Linked DNA regions of Canis lupus familiaris. The protein of the gene in region 2 purifies or fractionates together with the protein of the main gene of each other region. This does not show direct contact. Links are inferred from orthologs where the notes say so. Each region holds a gene or a part of one and is shown on either strand. Other genes may lie near its edges.

The links. Proteins that work in one complex are often made in the same cells at the same time.
Region 1: the proteins of NCBP3 (region 2) and THOC5 purify together in Homo sapiens (co-immunoprecipitation; 3 studies listed by BioGRID and IntAct, with this or other methods). This does not show direct contact. The link is inferred for Canis lupus familiaris from reciprocal best matches to the Homo sapiens genes NCBP3 and THOC5.
Region 3: the proteins of NCBP3 (region 2) and ALYREF purify together in Homo sapiens (affinity purification with mass spectrometry; 4 studies listed by BioGRID and IntAct, with this or other methods). This does not show direct contact. The link is inferred for Canis lupus familiaris from reciprocal best matches to the Homo sapiens genes NCBP3 and ALYREF.
Region 4: the proteins of NCBP3 (region 2) and THOC2 purify together in Homo sapiens (co-immunoprecipitation; 3 studies listed by BioGRID and IntAct, with this or other methods). This does not show direct contact. The link is inferred for Canis lupus familiaris from reciprocal best matches to the Homo sapiens genes NCBP3 and THOC2.

Annotation. Positions count from the first base shown.
Region 1 is NC_049247.1:23,188,601-23,193,255, reverse strand, and holds the start of THOC5 (THO complex subunit 5 homolog), read left to right. Parts: upstream 1-1,547; 5' UTR 1,548-1,695; intron 1,696-1,840; exon of another isoform or gene 1,841-1,859; intron 1,860-2,587; 5' UTR 2,588-2,703; intron 2,704-3,924; 5' UTR 3,925-3,960; coding exon 3,961-4,056; intron 4,057-4,655. UniProt on the Homo sapiens protein: Component of the THO subcomplex of the TREX complex which is thought to couple mRNA transcription, processing and nuclear export, and which specifically associates with spliced mRNA and not with unspliced pre-mRNA.
Region 2 is NC_049230.1:47,600,470-47,605,055, reverse strand, and holds the start of NCBP3 (nuclear cap-binding protein subunit 3), read left to right. Parts: upstream 1-1,458; 5' UTR 1,459-1,500; coding exon 1,501-1,683; intron 1,684-3,161; exon of another isoform or gene 3,162-3,262; intron 3,263-3,773; coding exon 3,774-3,839; intron 3,840-4,586. UniProt on the Homo sapiens protein: Associates with NCBP1/CBP80 to form an alternative cap-binding complex (CBC) which plays a key role in mRNA export. NCBP3 serves as adapter protein linking the capped RNAs (m7GpppG-capped RNA) to NCBP1/CBP80.
Region 3 is NC_049230.1:1,221,084-1,225,950, forward strand, and holds the start of ALYREF (THO complex subunit 4), read left to right. Parts: upstream 1-1,759; 5' UTR 1,760-1,774; coding exon 1,775-2,011; intron 2,012-2,331; coding exon 2,332-2,463; intron 2,464-3,971; coding exon 3,972-4,119; intron 4,120-4,716; coding exon 4,717-4,780; intron 4,781-4,867. Other genes in the region: ANAPC11 (anaphase-promoting complex subunit 11), read right to left, coding at 523-631. UniProt on the Homo sapiens protein: Functions as an mRNA export adapter; component of the transcription/export (TREX) complex which is thought to couple mRNA transcription, processing and nuclear export, and specifically associates with spliced mRNA and not with unspliced pre-mRNA.
Region 4 is NC_049260.1:95,958,652-95,963,505, reverse strand, and holds the start of THOC2 (THO complex subunit 2), read left to right. Parts: upstream 1-1,746; 5' UTR 1,747-1,820; coding exon 1,821-1,891; intron 1,892-4,854. UniProt on the Homo sapiens protein: Component of the THO subcomplex of the TREX complex which is thought to couple mRNA transcription, processing and nuclear export, and which specifically associates with spliced mRNA and not with unspliced pre-mRNA.

The DNA of each region.
Region 1 (4,655 bases), on a different chromosome or scaffold from region 2:
GTCTTCTCACATTTCCCCCTAAGATTCTTCATCTCAAGGCCACCAGTCTCCAGTTATCACCATGGAAGGCCTCAGTTAAGCTTTAGTTGCACAAAATGTAATGTGTCCAGTGGTTAGAGATGAGCTAGCCAGGCCTGGCTCTCTGGAATTCCCTGGTCTCCACTGGGCCACCTACTGGTTGTAAAGTCTGAGCCAAGTCCCTCCTGTCAGGGAAAAGCCTAAAACTGCCTCAAGAAGTAAAAGGGAAAACCTTCAATTTAGCACCGTCAGGACGAGGTCCTTCATATTCCACTTAGAAAGGCTGGGAAAGAGGATGGGAGCTGGGAATAATCTGGGTCACAAAATTGGACATGTACCTAGAAGGTAGAACAGAATTCAGAATTTGGATTTGAACTGCAGAATTTGGAAAACGGAAACAGGAAAATAGAATAGAGGTTACAGAAGACCACCAGAGGAGAGGTTCCTAAAACAAGGACAGTTGGAAAGAGGCCCATCTCTCCCAATATAAGATTGAGAACTTGACTGTGTAGTTTCAGCCCTTCTGTGTAGGGAGTCTCCTGCCCTTTTTTTTTTCATTCCTGCAGGTGAAGGAAAAGGCTGGGGCCTATTTCCTTCACCATGCATTCCTTTCTCTCCTCATATTCTATCAGCCCAACCCGCATTCTACTGGGCCACTGGGTATGTGGCATGGGGTCAGTGACTTTGGGAGCCTCCTTGGTGATCCCTACACCTCATGAACCTCTAGGTCGCTTGATTCTGTTTCCCTTTCAGGAAAACTTGTAGTGGAGTCACTGATGGAACCAATTAAATATTTACTATAAACCATGATGTCTTTTCTTCATCTGCAAGGAATTCTATCAGGTGCTAGAGGCAGGGCCAGTTTCCTGGTTCCACCTGATTTACTCTGCCCATCCCCACTCTACCCCTGAGGGTAGAGTGTTCCCTGAGGATCTGGGAGGGCCTACCCCCATGGCAGAAGGCATTCAGGACATCGGTGTTACTACCTCCAGATAAGTGGAATTTACACCAAAAGTCTTGAACTCTACCTGTAGAAGTCATACCAGGGGTGGAAGAACACTTGAAGCTGTCAAATGCCGCATAAGAGTTGTGACTCTGCCCATGGCAAATCGAATAGAAACTATTGATGTGGAAAGAAACGAGTTTAGGAGAATGAATGCCTTTCCCAGACTTGCTGCCCTCCGAAGTGTGGGATGTTTGGGTGATTATGACATTGGTTAAGAATACAGGTTATGAAGACAAATCCACAAGGGTTCATATCTTGGCACTACCACTCTCTCGGGTTACCTCGGGCACACGACGAACCCATTCACTCGGCTAACGCTAGGCAGAGCGCTTGTTGGCTGCTGAATGTAGCTGTAGGCGCTGAGGAAAGACTAAACGAGGCTAATCTGCCCTTCCAGCCTCGGTTTCTTGGTGTTGGAGGACAGCCTGAGGGTGTTGGCAGCTGGGACCCGCCCTGAGAACCCCGGAGCCACAGCAGCTGTTCCCGCGCCGCCCAGCTGTTGCCGGGACCACGCGTCAGCCGCCGTCTCGGACCTCCGCGTCTCGCTTCCGGCCTCCGCGCCTCGCTTCCGGCCAGCCGCTCTATTCTTCCGCTTCTCTATGGTGTACAGGAAGAAGTCTGTCTGCCGCCGGAAGCGGCTCGCTGCCACCGCGGGTTCGGGACTCCGAGCTGTGAGTAGGGCGCCGGGGATGCGGGGCTTGCCGGAGGGGCGGGGCGGGGCTGGGCGTTCCGGGGTCGAGGTGCAGACGTCCCCAAGCTGGGGGCCGAGTCGAGTTCTCGGTGCTCACGCTCCGGGGTCTCCAGCCGCTCGGCGCCGCCTGATTAATCTCTTCAGGTGAAAATGTCGGGCTGCAGCTGCGTCGGGCCCGGCATGGGAGCCTGTAGGTGCCGATGATGTCGATGTCGGAGGTGGTGGTGGTAACAGCTCACATTTATTGTGTGCTTGCTTACGTGTGCCAGGCTCTCTCTACTGGGTTTCCGAAGTCAGGATTTCCCACATTTCAGCCTTTCGCGTCCCACCTTCGTGGATTTTGCCCAGTCAATTTACTGTTTAAGACTCTGCTAAAGGTTTTTTTTTTTTTTTTTTTTTTTTTTTTATTTATGATAGTCACACACAGAGAGAGAGAGAGAGGCAGAGGGAGAAGCAGGTTCCATGCACCGGGAGCCTGATGTGGGATTCGATCCCGGGTCTCCAGGATCACGCCCTGGGCCAAAGGCAGGCGCCAAACCACTGCGCCACCCAGGGATCCCTCTGCTAAAGGTTTTTAATCGAGTCGCCTTTTACTTCTTAAACGTGAATTTCCTTTAAGAGAAATTTTAATGTTTCTCCCCTAAATGGAGACTTGTCCTATGCAGAAGGTAATGATAAAATTAATATGTTTAACATGAAAACATTGTTGATTTTGGCTAGATTTCATTGTCTAAGGCTCTGAGAGTCCTTTTGTTAACAAAGGAACATTGGTGTTCATAGACGTTAAAGACAAACTAGGGAAATGAAATGTTCTCCTTGAAGCAATTGGAGGTTTCTCAAAAGAATTGAAAAGGGATTAACTTTCTCCATAGGTGTTCAGCATTATTTCAGATCGCCCATGTACCATCTAAAGCCCCACGCCTAGGTCATCTTCATCACCTTCCCCAGTAGAGTGCCTCCTGTGTCAATGTCCACAGCAACCCCTGAGGTAAGGACTGTTATTCTCATTTGATCTGTGCGGAAGCAGGCCCAGGACTCCCAGCGGTAGAATGGTAGAGTGGAGACTCCAACTGGGCTTCTGTAACTACCATGAGCCATTGGTTCCTTCAGTAAATCTTGGGGAGAGATTTGTTGGGCTACGGGGGATTGTGCTGCCACCTCGGGGCTGTGGTGACAACCAGAAAACGTAGCAGGGGGAGGATGCTTTGTGACCCTAAAGCCCCATGAAAAGTAGGTTTTATTCTTTTAAATCTTAGGGCCATCTGGAGAGTTGATGGCATTGCCGGGTAAGGTGGTAGCAAGACACACTGGTGTCACAATAATATAGTTGTTGAGAGCACTATTGTGGCATTAGATGGACCCAAGCTTAAGCATACTAGCTGTGTGACTTTCGGCACCTCATTCACCTTTCTAAACTTCAGTGTTCTCAACCATAAAATGGTACTTGTTCTATCTGAAAGGTTTCTTACAAGGATTAAGTGAGAACATACCCTTAAAGTACTTAAATCAGGTCCAGCACACAGTGATCGATCGATAGTATTGGGACCAGGTATATATGCTAGGCTGAGGAGTTTAGTCAGGGATGTGGTTGTGGTGCCTTTAAAGCGGATGGAGCTGGAGAAGATGAGTTTGTTTGGGTCAGGCTGAGGGATGATTCCTCCCTTTTCTTTGAGAGGGACAGCTCCGAGTGTGGATGGGGGGAGGGTGGTGCAGAGGAAGAGAATCAACTCCACTCCTAGCACAGAACCCAATGCAGGGCTTGAACTTAGAACCCTGAGATCAAGTGTCAGCCACTTAACCAGCTGAGCCTGGGCATCTCATTCTCCTTTTTAATTTTTTTTAAAGATTATATACATTCATTGGAGAGGGAGAGTGCATGAGCGGGGAGGAGGGGCAGAGGGAGAGGGAGAAGCAGATTCCCCACTGAGTAGGGAGCCCAGTGTGGGGCTCCATCCCAGGACCTGGGAACCCTGGGACCATGACCTGAGCTGAAGGCAGGGCCTTAACTGACTGAGCCACCCAGGCAGCCCTCCCCATTTTTACAGAGGATTAAACAGGCTTTGGAGGGTTCAGTGACTTTTTTTTTTTTTTTTTTTTTTTTTTGAGTTACCAAGGGCGTAAGTAACCAGAACTACTAGTTAGATTTCAGTATTCTGACTCCAGGAAAATCTTTAACTCTAAAAAATCTTAAGTTTCCTCTTTTTAACAGGTCTTTGCTGTTTCCTTCTGACCTCACCAAACAACCATGTCATCAGAATCGAGCAAAAAACGGAAGCCCAAAGTGATCCGAAGTGATGGAGCTCCAGCTGAGGGGAAGCGTAACCGATCTGACACAGAGCAGGTGAGATCAGCCAGGGCTGCCACACTGCTAAGAAATTACAGCTTGTGGCCAGGCACCTGTCTATGAGTTTGCAGCAGCTGAGGATCACAGGGACAGCCTCCCAGGTAACCTGTGCTTGACCAGGTGCCTGGAATTCCCTTGGTTCTGCAAACCTGAGTATTCACATCTGGTTTAGTTATAGCATCCCAAGAACCAACAAGCCTATATTAGGCATGAACAGTCCTGAACAGAGAATGCATTCTTGTATGGTGTATGTCTCTAATTTTCCTGATGGTCAGAAGAAGCCAGTATCTGTAGCATACCACTGGGATTGGGATCCCTCGTCTGCTGCTAAGACAGTACCAAAACAACATCCCCACAAAATCTCTTCTGTAGCCTGAGAGCACATGTGGTCAGCAGATGAAGACCTACTGTCTTAGAGACTTTCAAATGTACAATATAGTATCGTTAGCCATAGGAGACTCTGTCTTCAAGAGAAGTGTTCTGTTCATTCCAAAGGCTGGACAACCAATTATGATACTTTAGTCTCTGCTAAAGCTTGATTTGACTAAACACTCATCAGTAGGAATTTGGTTAAATGAATTCTGATTCATCTATTT
Region 2 (4,586 bases):
AGAACCTGAGATATTGAAGGGTTACATAGCTTGCCAAGGTGGCTTATGTGGTGTAAGGGGCAGAGCTAGTCAGTTTGAAACCCAGACACATCTGATGTTGATTATGCTCTCCCTTGGTTTATAATTATTTGTTCCTCCATGGTTCAAGCTAGTAGAGCCTAAGACCCTAGGGGTCCCACTTACATACTCTTCAGATGGGAAGACAGGCCCAGATAGGGGCCAAATCTAGCCTAAGGTAAGGGAGGGAAGGGAAGGTGCAAAATCAGGACTCAAAGCAAAAACTGACCAGTGGTGCCCTCTGGAAGCCTTGAGGACCCTTGAAAATTATTCTTTGCCCCTGTCTCCCAACCAGGTTGTTAGAAATGCTGCAAGAGGGATCCCTGGGTGGTTCAAGCGGTTTAGCACCTGCCTTGGGCCCAGGGTGTGATCCTAGAGATCGGGGATCGAGTTCCACATCAGGCTCCTTGCATGGAGCCTGCTTCTCCCTCTGCCTGTGTCTCTGCCTCTCTCTCTCTCTCTCTCTCTGTCTCTCATGAATAAAAAAATTAAAAAAAAATAAATAAAATCTTTTTAAAAATGCTGCAAGAACATACTCAGGAGTTTACAGTGGACTGAGCTCTGGGGAGTCAGGAAATTGGGGTTTAAGCTCTTGGCTTTTGGGCAGCTCATTGCCCTTCTGAAGTCTCAATATCTGTGTATATAAAATGGGCCACTTATTGGGAGACTCGAAAGAGACAAAGGTTGGCAAGGTAAGTAGGTTGTAAACCTACCAACTGGCTAGAAGTGATAGACCAAGGCTCATTCTGGGCTCTGGAGCCAGACTCCTTAGGCTCAGATTGTTTTTATTGCTTAAATAGCCTGTCACCTGGGTGCTTGGGTGGCTCACTCAGTTGAGCATCCCACTCTTGATTTCAGCTCAGGTCTTGATCTCTGAGTTTTGAGTTTAAGCCCCCCATTGAGCTCCATGCTCTACGTGGAGATAGATAGATAGATAGATAGATAGATAGATGATAAGTAAAATAAATGGCCTGTCACCGTGAAATTTCTATGCCTCAGTTTCCTCATACATGAAATGGGAGTAATAACAGCACCTATTAAATAGAGTTGTAAGATATCAAGCACTCAGAACAGTCACTGACACATAGTGATCATGCAGTAACGCTGCCTTTTATAACAGGTTCACTGTCGAAGGCGTGCCTATCCTCGAAGCGCGACCGCAGGGACCTCCCCCCGGCGGCCCCCCCCCCCCCCCCCCCGCAGGCCCGGTCCCCAGTCCCCCGACTCGGGCCCGCCTTCTCCTCACCCCGTCCCGCTCCAGCTGTCCTGGGTTCCCTCCCGCCACCAGGGGGCGGCGGCGCTGAGGGGGAGGGGTGTGGCGCTTCTAGCCGCAGCAGGCGACACTCTAGGGAGCAGCGGCCGCTGCTCTATGGCCAGTGGCGGCGGCGCTCTAGCCGGCGAGTGTGCGAGGCGGGCTCTCAGTGGTGCGGCCGGCAGGCGGCTATGGCGGCCGTACGGGGCCTGCGAGTGTCGGTGAAGGCAGAGGCCCCGGCGGGGCCGGCCCTGGGGCTCCCGTCGCCTCAGGCGGACTCTGGTTTGGAGCGTGGCGAGCCGGAGCCCATGGAGGTGGAGGAGGGCGAGCTGGAGATTGTGCCGGTGCGGCGCTCCCTGAAGGAGCTGATCCCGGTACGGGCTGGGGGCGGGGGCGAGGAGGAGGTCGCCGAGCTGGGGCCCCCGGGGCCCGGCGGCCGGAAGGGGAGGAGGCCGGCGCCGGGGCCGGGGAAGTCGGGGGAAAGGGAAAGAGGGGAGGGAGCGCCCAGGGGGCGGAGGCGCCGGGCTCGGGGAGAGACGGGGAGCGGGAGAAGGGGCGCCGGGCGCCCGGAAATAGGTGTGGAGGGGCTGGAGATGGGGGAGCCTGGGGGTGCTGAGGACACCCCCTTTGCCGCCTCCGAGCCAGGCTGTGCAGGGGCGGCGGGCAGGGCGGGCTGGGGCTGTCTGGGGGCGCGAGGTGAATCACGGTGGGGCCCCGGGCCGGGACGCCGGCGTCAGAGTCTCCGGTGGAGCTCCTGTTGGTTCAGCGGAGCGCTCGCGGCTCCTCTTGGAGGGTCGGACTTGTCAGCTGCAGAAACTTCGGGTTTCTTTTGTGACTTGAGAGTCCTCCCGGCCCCATTCTCCTTGCTCTGTAGCACCTACACCTGGCCGCAAACACGTGACCCTTAGTGAGACCCAAACAAGCGAACCAGCGGGGGCGGGGCGTGCTCCGTCTCTTAGCACCTAGCGGGGGAGTGAGAGGGGCTTTGCTTTTGGTTCGGTGGTCCTGTGTTGGGTTCTGAGGCCTGATCTCGGGCCTGCATGGCTCTTATGTATGTACTCGGTTTCTCGTCTGACATGAACCCCTTTTTTACCATGTCAGCAAAGTCTGGCTTTTTAAACCGAAATTGTGGGAAAAGGGAAAGAAGATGGGATCACTAAAGACAGTAAACGATAAAGGACCCTAGTAACAACAGTTAACATGGTGGCTTTTTACCATTTACTACGTTACGTTGTTTAAGTATCACTGTAGTTGTGAAGTAGATCGCATCCTTTATTCGTTCGGTGCAACATGTGGTTACCGCATCCCTACTATGTGCCAGGCACAATGTAGGCACTCGTCAAGATCAAGATCAAAGTCTTCCCTGGCGTTTATGTTTTAGTTGGAAGACACAAATAAAGAATTTCTAATAGTGGTAAGTGCTTTGAAGAAAGTAAAACACGTTAACGGGACAGGAGTGCAGAAGACAGGGAAGGTGTGCAGAGCAAGAAGCCAAATGGTAGGGGATGGTCAGGGAGGTGGTTTCAGATACTGACATTTAAGCTGAACCCTGACTGACAAAAAGGAGCCAACCACGTGCAGAACATATTCCCAGCAGGGGCGACAGCAGGTGCAAAGGCTCTGAGATGGGAACAAAATTGTTTTGTTGGAGAAATGGTAAGTTCCGTAGAGCAAATGGGAGAGCCGTTAAAGAGGTCAGGAAGGTAGGCAGATACTGTGGAGGAAACCCAGGCCCGGAGAGGTGAAAGGAATTGTACAGTGTTGTGTAATTAGTGAATCTCAGAGCTGTGACTTCAGTCTTCGGCTTCCAAATCCCATCCTCTTTTCATTGCACTGTGCTGTGTTTTCCCAGGAGGTCTAGGTGAGTCTGGAGTTTCTGCATTTTGGTGAAGACTTGTGCTCCACCTGGTGGCCTGATACGATGAATTTGTCCTATGTGGGCTGGGGAGATGAGTGAGTGTGCCTTACTTAACTTGGACCTTTTTCATGAAAGCCTGTATATTTTCATTTACATAAATACCTTAAGCAGATGGATTTGGTTAAGGTTTGGGACAGGATCTGATCTAGAAAAGACTTTTTGTTAGAGTGGTTGATTGCTTACTACCCGAAGTTACTGAGACACACTTCCTCATAATAAAGGGTTGTCAGAGTGAGGAAGGATTGCTGAAAGGAATGACTATCCAAAAGGAATCTGTTGCAGGGCTGTCTATTATTATGTGTTTTTCTTCAGTTTTTTTTTTTTTTTTTTTTAAGATTTTATTTACTTATTCATGAGAGACAGAGAGAGAGAGGCAGAGACACAGGCAGAGGGAGAAGCAGGCTCCATCCAGGGAGCCTGATGTGGGACTCGATCCCGGGACTCCAGGATCAGGCCCTGGGCTGAAGGCGGCGCTAAAGCGCTGAGCCACCGGGCTGCCCCTTCTTCAGTTCTCTTAGCATTTCTTAATCTTTCTCCGTGCGTTAGGACACAAGCAGAAGATATGAAAACAAGGCTGGTAGCTTCATCACCGGAATTGATGTTACCTCCAAGGTAAGACACCATAATTTATTTATTCATTTTGATAAGCAGGTGAACTTAATGGATGTGGCCCCTAGAACTTGTGAAACACCAGTTACTCTTTACCTCCTTTTTTCTTTTGTTGTTTGACTAAAACTTTTTTTTTTTTTAAGATTTTATTTATTCATTAGAGACACAGAGAAGCAGAGACCTAGGCAGAGGGAGAGCAGGCTTCCTGTGGGGAGCCCGATGTGGGACTCGATCCTGACCCCAGGATCACGCTGTGAGCCCAAGGCAGATGCTCAACTGCTGAGCCACCCAGGCGTCCCCATTTTTTTTAACTTAAATTTTGGATTACACAATGATGTGTTCATTCATCCTGAAAACATACAGGCAGCATTTGTGTTCTTATATTATGAAAAGGTAAAATCCATGTACCTAGTTGCCTGTGCTTAACCATATCTAAGAAAAAGTTCTGTACTGGGAATGCTTTTTTTTATGCTATGTCTATGCTTTAAAAATGTGTATGCTGTGTCCACTTTAATGAAACAAAACATGAAAAATACTTGGCATATAGTAGGCTATTAGTATAAATGTCTTTATTCTTCACTGGTTGCAGGCTTAGAAAAATAGAGTTTCCTGATTCTGTGGCTGTCTAAACTTTGAAAGCCAAGTCAGCTGAATTATTCTCAGTACCCGGGAGTATTGCCTTTTATCTAGTGATTGCTATTACTAAATTACCAGCTTTCCTATAACTCTTTACAGAGCCTAACCTATTAT
Region 3 (4,867 bases), about 46 Mb from region 2:
CAGGGCTGAGCGAGCACACGCACGGACACCTGAGACAACGTGAGCAAGCACCAGGAATGGGGGGACACTGAGGGCTTATCGTCACGTCCGGTGTGACAGTGCTACACTTAGTGACTGGGCTGGAGGGGAGCCGGGCCCCAGAAGCCACTTCCAAGCCAGGACGTGAACACAGCCCTTAGCAGCGCTTAGCAGCGACGGTGGGCGCTGGCCGAGGGGACGGGCACCCCCACGACAGCCTGCGTGCCCGCTGGAGAATCGTCCCGTGGCGCTCCAGCGTCCCCCGGCCCACGGGCGTCACGGCTGACTGTGAGCACAGTAAAAAGCCACACGGCCCTCTCTTACAGAACTTTCCATGGGCTCCTCACACAATCATGGGCCCAAACCACCTGCCTTTCTTCTGTCAGCTTGTGTTGAGCAGAGTGACCCCAAAACCCAAGCACCTTGCGCAGGTGTTTCCGAGGAGATGCCCTGGCCAGGCCCGCAGGCAAAGCTCGAGGGGGAGGGAGCACAGGGCACACTCACAGTCTGGGCAGCAGCCATTAAAGGCCATCCGGCAGATGCCACAGTTCTCGTCGTTGGCCACCCAGAGCCAAGTAGCCACGCCGTTCCAGCACTTGATCTTCACCTTCATGGCCGCGGAGCCTACAGGGGGAGGAGACATCGCCGGGCCACACTCAGTCTGCACAGCTACCCATCTAGGCACCCAAGGGGCGCGGCTCCCAGCCGAGGGTCAGCCGGGGCCGGACCTGCTGCCAGAGCTCAGAAACCCTGAGAGCTCTGCACCAGCGGCAATGGCAGGGCCCGGGCCACCCTTGGGAGAACAGCGCGCCCCAGAGCCAGAGTTATCGGCGAAGACTGCAGGGTCCGCCCTGCGTCCCCAAAAGGGCACATGGGCTTCGCCAGTAATTCCAAAAACGTACCATACGGGTTTTTTTCAAAGAGATACGACTAAATCGGGGTTGACAAATAGAGACCCCAACCCAGGTGACCACGAGTTCACGCCAGGGAACCACCACCCAGCCCACTAGGCCTGCGCCACCACCCCAGGGTGAGGGTGCAGAGTGGGGGGTGCCGGGCAGGACCCGGGGTTGCGGGGGAAGGGGTGAGGGCAGGAGCATGCAGAAGGAGTGCGCAGAGGCCAGGAGAAAGTGAGGTGCAGGGAGGGACCAGGGTGTGTGGAGAGTGGGATGTGGGGAAGCGGTGGGGGGGGAAGGGCGGAGCGGAAGGCGCAGGGGTGCGAGCAAAGAGTAGGGGAAGGGGTAGGGGTGTGGGGAGAGGGTGGGGTAAGGAGCGGGGGTGCCTGAAGGGGGTAGGGAAGGCGCCGGGGTGCGGGGAGAGGGCAGGGGAGACGCAGGGGTGCGGAGGGAGGCGCAGGAAGTGGTGGGGGAGGTGCGGGAGCGCGGGGAGGGCGCGAGGCCGGGGCGCGGGGAGGGGGGGGGGAGGGGAGGGGAGCCGCCCGCCCCGCCCCGCGGCCCCGCCCACCTGCGCCCCCCGCCGGCCTCCGCGCGCCGACCCCGCCTTCCGTCGGCGGCGCCCGCGTGGGAAGGTATAAAAGCGGCCGCGGCCGCCGCCGGCACCTCAGCTGCGCCCGCCGAGCCCGCCGTCCGGCGCACGCGCCCCCGCTCCCGCCCGCCCTGCCCGCCCTCGCTCCCGCCCGCCGCGGCCAATCCCCGGCGGCCCCGGCCTCGGTCCCGGCAGGCCGCGCGCGGCCCCGGAAGTGACGCGCCGACGTGCTGACGCGCGGGCTCGAGCCGAGGCCGACTCCGCGCCCGCCATGGCCGACAAAATGGACATGTCTCTGGACGACATCATCAAGCTGAACCGGAGCCAGCGAGGCGGCCGCGGCGGAGGTCGGGGCCGCGGCCGGGCCGGCTCCCAGGGCGGCCGCGGTGGCGGGGCGCAGGCCGCCGCGCGAGTGAGCCGGGGCGGCGGGCCCATCCGGAACCGACCGGCCCTCGCCCGCGGCGCGGCGGGCGGCGGCGGCAGGAACCGGCCGGCGCCCTACAGCAGGGTGAGCGGGGCGGCGGGCCGGCGGGCGGGGGCGCGCGGGGGCGCGGGCGGCGGGCCGGGGGGCTCGGGCCGGGCGGGCGGGGGGGCGCGCGGCGGCCGCCCGGGGCGGCGGAGACCCTCCGGGCCTTTGTCTGGGCCGGGCGCTGGGCCTCGTGGCGGCGGCGGGCGTTGGGCGCGGCCGCGCAGGCGGCGGGAAGCGGGTCGGAGGGAGCGGCGGCGCCCGGGACGCCGGGGGGACGGCGGGCGGGGGCGTGCGGGCGCCGCAGGGTCCGCGGGAGACGCTCACGGGCCGCGTGCTCCTGTGCTCTCCTCCCCCCGCAGCCGAAACAACTTCCCGACAAGTGGCAGCACGATCTCTTCGACAGCGGCTTCGGGGGCGGCGCCGGCGTGGAGACGGGTGGGAAACTGCTGGTGTCCAACCTGGATTTCGGAGTGTCGGACGCGGATATTCAGGTGAGGGGCGGGCGTTCGTCGGTGAGCGGGTCACCCGCACCCGGTGGCCCCGTTGAGGACGCGGCCTGAACCGCCCGCGCCGCACCTTAGGGCGGGGAGCCCTAGGGGCCCAGGGGCAGCCGCCGGCCCTCTAAGGGCTGCAGGAGTGCAGAGCGGAGGTCCTGGCCCGGGAAGTGCGGCCGGCAGGTCGGGGTGTCGGAGGTCGGGCCCGGCCTAGCGGGACGAGCTGCCGCTCTTCCTGAGTCGTGCCCCGCGCGGGGGCGCAAACCCCCTGCCGGAGCCCTCGCTCCTGGCGGGAAACCTCGACCTAACCTGAGCGGTTTCTGTTCCTGCCTCGCTTAGGATCTGCGTTTTGTTTACTTTGTGCTTCTTTTAACGGTTTGCTGGGAGGACAGAGATCTTTTTCTGTGGAAGCCTACGGGCAAAGCACAGACGCAGGACGGCGCTGGGCATGCTTTTGTTCCGCTGGCCTTGAGCCCCCGGCTCCATGTCGTACAGGACCTATATCCTGTCTTTCTTCCCCTCTTTTTAGTGGCATGATTCTCAATCCCGACTTTGGTTGAAGCTTCTTTGTTTTCTTTTTGTTGCTGTTGTTGTTGTTTTGGTTTTTGGGGTCTTTTGGTTTTGTTTTTTTGGGGTGTTTTTGTTCTTTTGGGTTTTTTTGTTTGTTTGGATTCCAAAAGCATATAAACTTGTTTTTTGATTAAGTAAAGACATTTTGGGGATCAGTCCCAGAGATGGCTGGGTCAGGGTGCTGGGCCTTCCTGGGTTCAACTTCCCCAGAGCCCAGCTGTTTGACTACCGTGGGAGGACAGAGCAAGGCCGGTGAGCACTCACGGTGTCTCAACACTTTTTTTAAGGTGGTTTCTGGCATCCACTGGAAACCGCTTTTGGTGAACTCCACTTCCCGCTGTGTGCCTGCGGCCGGAGTAGCCCCACACTCTGGGTTCCCTCTCCAACTCCCAGCCTGCCTGAGGTCAGGGCAGTTTCCATGGCAGCGCTTGACTTCAGCCTTTGCGGCAGGCTTGAGTAGGAGGAGAGGGAAAGGTGAGCCAGAATCTGCCCTGGGGGAGGGGCTGGGTCAGGGCTCCCGAATCGACGGGCCCTGTGAGCTGGTGTCCACATGTCGGATAGCATCCCTTGCTCTGTGATCTTGGCCTTTGCGGTTTCTTGGTACAGTCCTTGGGTGTGTTGTCAGTTTTCCTCTGTTGAAGAAGATAGCGACTTAATCTTGTTCCCTTCACTGGCGGGTTCTGTGGTCCTTTACCTGCATCCTGGTACTGATGTAAGGTCCCCACACTGGCAGGAGCCCTCAGACCCAGCTGCTCCGGGAAGTGGCTGTCCCATCTGCCCCTCCCTCCCCGTGGTTTCCACTACCAGTGCCCTGCCCCAATACGTGTCTGCCTCCCAGGGAAATAACCCCCCCTCAGCAGCTCACCCTCCCAGGGACTGTCCTGGGCCACAGGAAGGGAAGCACCTCACTAACAGCTGCTCTTTCCGGCCCCCAGGAACTCTTTGCTGAATTCGGAACTCTGAAGAAGGCAGCTGTACACTATGACCGCTCCGGGCGCAGTTTAGGAACAGCCGATGTGCACTTTGAACGGAAGGCAGATGCCCTAAAAGCTATGAAACAGTACAACGGCGTCCCTCTGGATGGTGCGTCTGAGGTTGGACCCGGATGCTAGAGGGGCTGCGTCTCGTGGAGTCGGGCTGGCCGCTATCCGTGCAGGAGTATGGCTTACCCCTGTGGCTGAGGACACTTTGCATTCGCCCCTTTGTCTCTCTCTTCCATTCCGCCACCTCTCATGCTGCCCCACACATCCGGACCAACCTCTTGTGAACCCCCATCCAGCAAGCTACACCCTCCCCTCCTTCAGCTCCTTCCGGAAGACTCACTTCTGTGAAGCCTTCTCAGAACCGCCATAGTACACCTCTGAGTGCGGGGCTGTAGTCGTAAAGACAAAGGTACCGGTTCTTCTTCCGTCAGGCCACCCACACCTTTCCACCCATGAGCACCCCGGACACCTGACCAGACACCCAGCTAACTGGACTGAGAAGGAGCGAGGAGGTTTTGGTGGGGTTGTCATTGGCACCATCTCGTTCTCCCACCAGTAGTGCTCGGCCACTCCCCTTGTTGGGAGCATTTGGAGACACAGCCCCTTTCCAGTGCTTGCATGGAGACCGGGGTGTGGTGCCCCTCGGCGCGTTTCGAGCCCTCTAACTGCATGTGTCCTCTTGTATTCTTTGCCACAGGCCGCCCCATGAACATTCAGCTTGTCACGTCACAGATTGACACACAGCGGAGACCCGCGCAGAGGTGAGTTCTGGGGTCTTTGGGACGGTGCTGACCTGTGGTAAGTGGGCGCTCACCCCATGGGCCTTTGAACATCACGTGAGTGAGTCC
Region 4 (4,854 bases), on a different chromosome or scaffold from region 2:
TTAGGACTTCAAAATCAGACAGGACGTTAGGAGACTAGAAATAGCTGATGAAAAACAATCATGAACAATGTAGTATTTTCCCAGAACTTATTCTGAATACAGCCTATCCCTCCAACATCTTTTCAATGCAAATGAACCTGATCCATTTGGTGAAAACTGCCAAATTTAGAAGGTACTAGTTCTAAAGTTCATACTTTAATATATGTGTGATAAGGTTTCCTTCTTTGGTTTGCCTATGCTTTCTAAAATTTCTGCCAAACCCGTATTTTAAAAAACCTAAAAAAAATATTTTATTTATTTATTCATGAGAGACACAGAGAGAGAGAGAGGCAGAGACACAGGCAGAGGGAGAAGCAGGTTCCATGCAAGGAGCCCGATGTGGGACTCGATCCTGGGCCTCCAGGATCACACCCCAGGCTGCAGGCAGCGCTAAACTGCTGCGCCACTGGGGCTGCCCTAAAAAACTTTTTTATTTTGAAAAGTTGCACAAATAGAACAGAAAGTCCCTGCATGTCCTTCACTTAGACTCCTAGCATGTTAATATTTTACATTTTCTTAATCATCCTAGGGTTTTCTTCTGAGACATTTTAGAGTAAGTTGCAACATAATGTCCTATTACCTCTCAGTACTCCAGCGAGTATTTTCTTAAACAAGGACTTTCACATTAACCATAGTACAAGTATAAAAAAAACAAGAAATTTACATTGGTAGAATATCGTTAGTCTACAGATATTCAAATTTTGTCAATTGTCCCAATAATGCCCTTAGCAAAGGAAAAATGATCTTTTTCTGGCTGGGGATCCGTTGTCCTGTCTGTTGTTTCTACTCATCCGGAGGAGTTCCTCAATATGTCTAGATTGTCTTTAGTGACTTTGATGATTTTGAAGAGTGCAAGCCAGTAATTTTGTAGACTGTCCCTCTATGGGTTTGTTTGATGTTCCCTCACGATTGAATTCAGGTTCTGCGAATTTCCGTGTCATGAATGCTACAAAATTGGTTAGTGCTTTTCTTACCACCTTATCAGGAGGCAAATGATGCCCATTCCCGGGTGTGCTGAGTTTTCATCATAATTGGGACGGTGTCCGCCATATTTTCCCACCATAGTTCCTATTTCGCCTTGGAAATAGTATTTTGTCGGGAGATACTTCGAGACTCTGTAATGTAAACAAGTTGTTTCTTATGGTAATTGCGCCCCCTAGTTTTGTCTAAGGTTACGGAGACAGAGGCTGATTACAGTAGGGTGTCAGCGCTGATGGCGGCAAGTGTTTCCAGGGGTCAGTTTCTGCTTGTATCCCTTGTATTAGCATGTCTAGCACATAGTAAATGGCTGCTTATTTTCTGATGAATTTCTTTGATCTCAGCAGTTAGTAGCGTGTATTGTAAATTGATCTTATGTTAGTTTTTCCCACAGACTGTGAGCTCCTTGAGGGTAGGCACAATGACTTAGTGCTTCTCTGTCCCCAGTGTCTAGCACACACTAGGTGCTTGAAAAATACATGTTTGAATTAGTGGCCTGGAGTAGATACTACCGAAGAGGACAAGGGCTATGTGTCGGTCTGGGGAAGGCATTCTTCCTGTTCTAAAGGGAAGCCAGAGCAAGGGTTGTAGAGGGCGCGGTCGGCGTAGTCACGGCCAAGGACCCACGGGTCTCAGCCACCTGGTTGGAGGCCAGGCCTCGGGTTTCCGCGGGTGGGGAAGAAAGTGGGGCGGGAAACCGAAAACCGAACTCGCAGCTCCCGGCATTCCCCGTGGGCGGTGCTCCCCTTTGACCCCTCGCTCGCGTGCTACACATCCGGGCCTCTGCTACTAGTGAGGGGAAGATGGCGGCCGCAACTGTGGTGGTTCCCGTAGAGTGGATAAAGAACTGGGAGAAATCAGGGAGAGGCGAATTGTGAGTGTCCGGGCTGGAGGCGGGCGCACGGCCGGGCCGGGCCCGGGCGTCAGCCGTGCTCTCCCTTGTGGGGAGAGGTTGTGGGGGGAAGATGTGCCCCCTCCCCCATCCGGGCGGCGGGTGTGGAGGGTTGGCTAGGAGTTTCGAACTCGGGGAGGAGAGGTGCTGGTAACCGCCGCCGACCTCCTTCCTTCTCTGGCCTCTCCAAAATCCTCGTTGCCCGCCGTAGGCTGTCTTCCTTTAGTGTCTTAGCAGAACTCCCGTTTCGCCCCTGCGGGTCTACGCGCTCCCGCTCCGTCTTTTTGTCCCCCTCTTCGCTTGAGCTCACTTGGCTCCTTTCTCTTTACGGGGCCGCGCCGGGAGGGGGGGTTCGGACTTTACATCTTTGTGTCCCATTTCTTCACTCTGCACCCGTTCGACTCTGCAGTTTGGAGCCCGACGCCTCCTTTGCCCGAAGTCCGAGGAGGGCGAACCGTCCCGACTCCCTCCCCTCCTCTCCGCCCGCTGCCGCGATGCCCGGGGCGTCGCGAAGAGCCCCGGTTGGCACGTCTCGTCCTCCCGGGGAGCGGTCTTTCGGATTGTCCCGGCCTCGCGCGGCGCCGCTGGCCGTGGGAGAAGTGTAGCTGGGATTGCCGCTTTCCCACGAAGACCTACCGGCATTTCTTTGCTCCGGCTTTTCACTTTAGAGCCATTTCGGTTTTGATTCAACTTTCGTCATTAAATGTTTCTTAAACCCCATTTTGTCCTGGGACTGCAACTAATTTTGGCGACTCTCAGGGTTCTCAAGTACCTGGAATAACGCGTTCCCTTTAGTCATAAAACTTGTTTTTTTCCCCTGGTAATACAGAAAACAGTAATTTGCCATACCCGCGGTTTCCTCGCCCCAAATTTCAGTTCGCGCTCCCTCGGAAAGAAAGGAATCGTTTAAGCAGTAAAACCCCAGATTCAAAAACAAAGAATTTATTTCTAATTTCGTTCTCTGAATCGCTTTATTAACCAAAGCTCAACGCTGTATGAGCTAACTCTCGTTAGCCATTTTTGCGGTCGGCCGCCCCCTCCCCCCATAGTTTACGGTTGCTCGCGCGAAAGATAACGAATCTTTGGAACTTCGTTACTTCGAACGAAACCCGGGGAATGCGTTGCCCGATCTTGCGCGTGTGATATTGCCAGCTTGTATGGACTCCTCCTTCTCCCCTCCCGCGCCCTCCCTCCCCCCGGCTCCACGCGCACTCGCACTCGCGCTGCTTTACCAAGTCTTAACTGTGTGAGCTCTAGAATTGTATTTCCTGGATAAGCGGCGGTCTTAGCCACTTAACTAGCTGAGTGACCTTGGGTAAGTTCCTTAACCACTTTGACCGTTTCCCCTTGAGTAAATTGGGATTAATAAGTACTCTATTCAAAGGATTGTTGTGAAGACTAAATAATACCTGTAAAGCACTTGGCTTATAGTAAGTGCTCAAGTGATAGCTATTAAAAGTAATATTATTATTCCAATCTTTAGATATTTAAACTTCTCTGGACAGCTCTTGCTCTTAAAGTCTGTACCACTCAGGTTAGCAATTAATTGGTCTTTGACTTACTGCTGCATACTCTTGTACTCTAACGAATTGAGAGACCCTTGAAGAGTGGGGACTATGTTTCATATTTAGTTTGGTCGCCCCTCCCACGCCGTCCCCCCACTGCAGGCCCCAGCTCCCGCCTCACTCCCCCTCGCCTTTCTAGCATATGCTTGGAGTGAGAGCTTTTTGGTTTATTAAATGAGATGTCTATTTGATAAACATTCATTTTTAACTGTTAGGAACATTTTCCAGATCCTTGTACATGCCATTTAACAAATTAAGCTATTAAGTTCCTTGTGTGCAGGGAAGGCAGAACGGGAGGTTACCTAAACCATCGTTTTCATCTATATTAGATTAGGATAACCTCCCCAAACTGATAAATCAGTTCACTATTTTGTTTACTTATTTAGGGCCTGTCATCTTCATAGATTGCTCAGCTTCCTTGTTACATCTGTTTTTGACAGTTTTATTATTGCTTTTACCTTAGAATGAGTGGTATTAGGGCTAGGAGGTGAAAATCTGAATTCTGATTGGCTTCTTGGCAGTGGTTGGAGAAAAATAGTGATGTAGGAGGTTGAAATACGTTGTCAAAATGAGATTTTGGATACACTGTGTGTATATTTGCATAATCCATGCTATGTGTATTGTTCCTGAAGAGCTTTTTCAAAACTGTTAGGGCTTATTTGTATGTAGTTACTCCATGACGTGAGGAATGTTGTTTGAATTATAGTAGATCCAAATCAGTGTAGTTTTATAATTGTATTCTGTTATATGAAGAGAGCATAAGGTGGTCAGTTGTATGACATAATCGGATATTTTAAATAGACAAACACATCATCATCCAGTACTTAGGCTTCATTTATTTGACTCCTTTCCCCTCTTTGAAAACTTGGTTGCATGTAGTCTAACTTCAGAGTTCTTGTATCTAGCATTTCATTTTATTAGAATGAATGGGGTTGTAAATATATTACCCAAAATCTTTTCCTTTGTCTGAAAACAGAGCTTCTTAAATATAAACTAGCAACTAGAAATGTTAAAAAATGAAGTTAATGTGCCAACAGATAATTAGCAAATCCATTTATAGATTTGGCTTTTAGAATAGGACCAATATTGTAAAATACACAAGAAAGGTGAACATTCCAAAGAATTAGAGTACAGAGAACTCTCAATGGTTTCACTTGCAGACATATTCCCTGAATATTAATTTAAAACAAATCAAGGCACCTGGGTGGCTCAGTGGTTGAGTGTTTGCCTTTGGCTGGGGTTGTGACGCTGGGGTCCTGAGATCGAGTCCTGCATGGGGCTCCTTCAGCCTATTGCTCTGCCTCTCTCTCTGTCTCATGAATAAATAAATTAAAATCTTAAAAAAAAATAAATGCAAACATTTGAATTCTGCCACATATG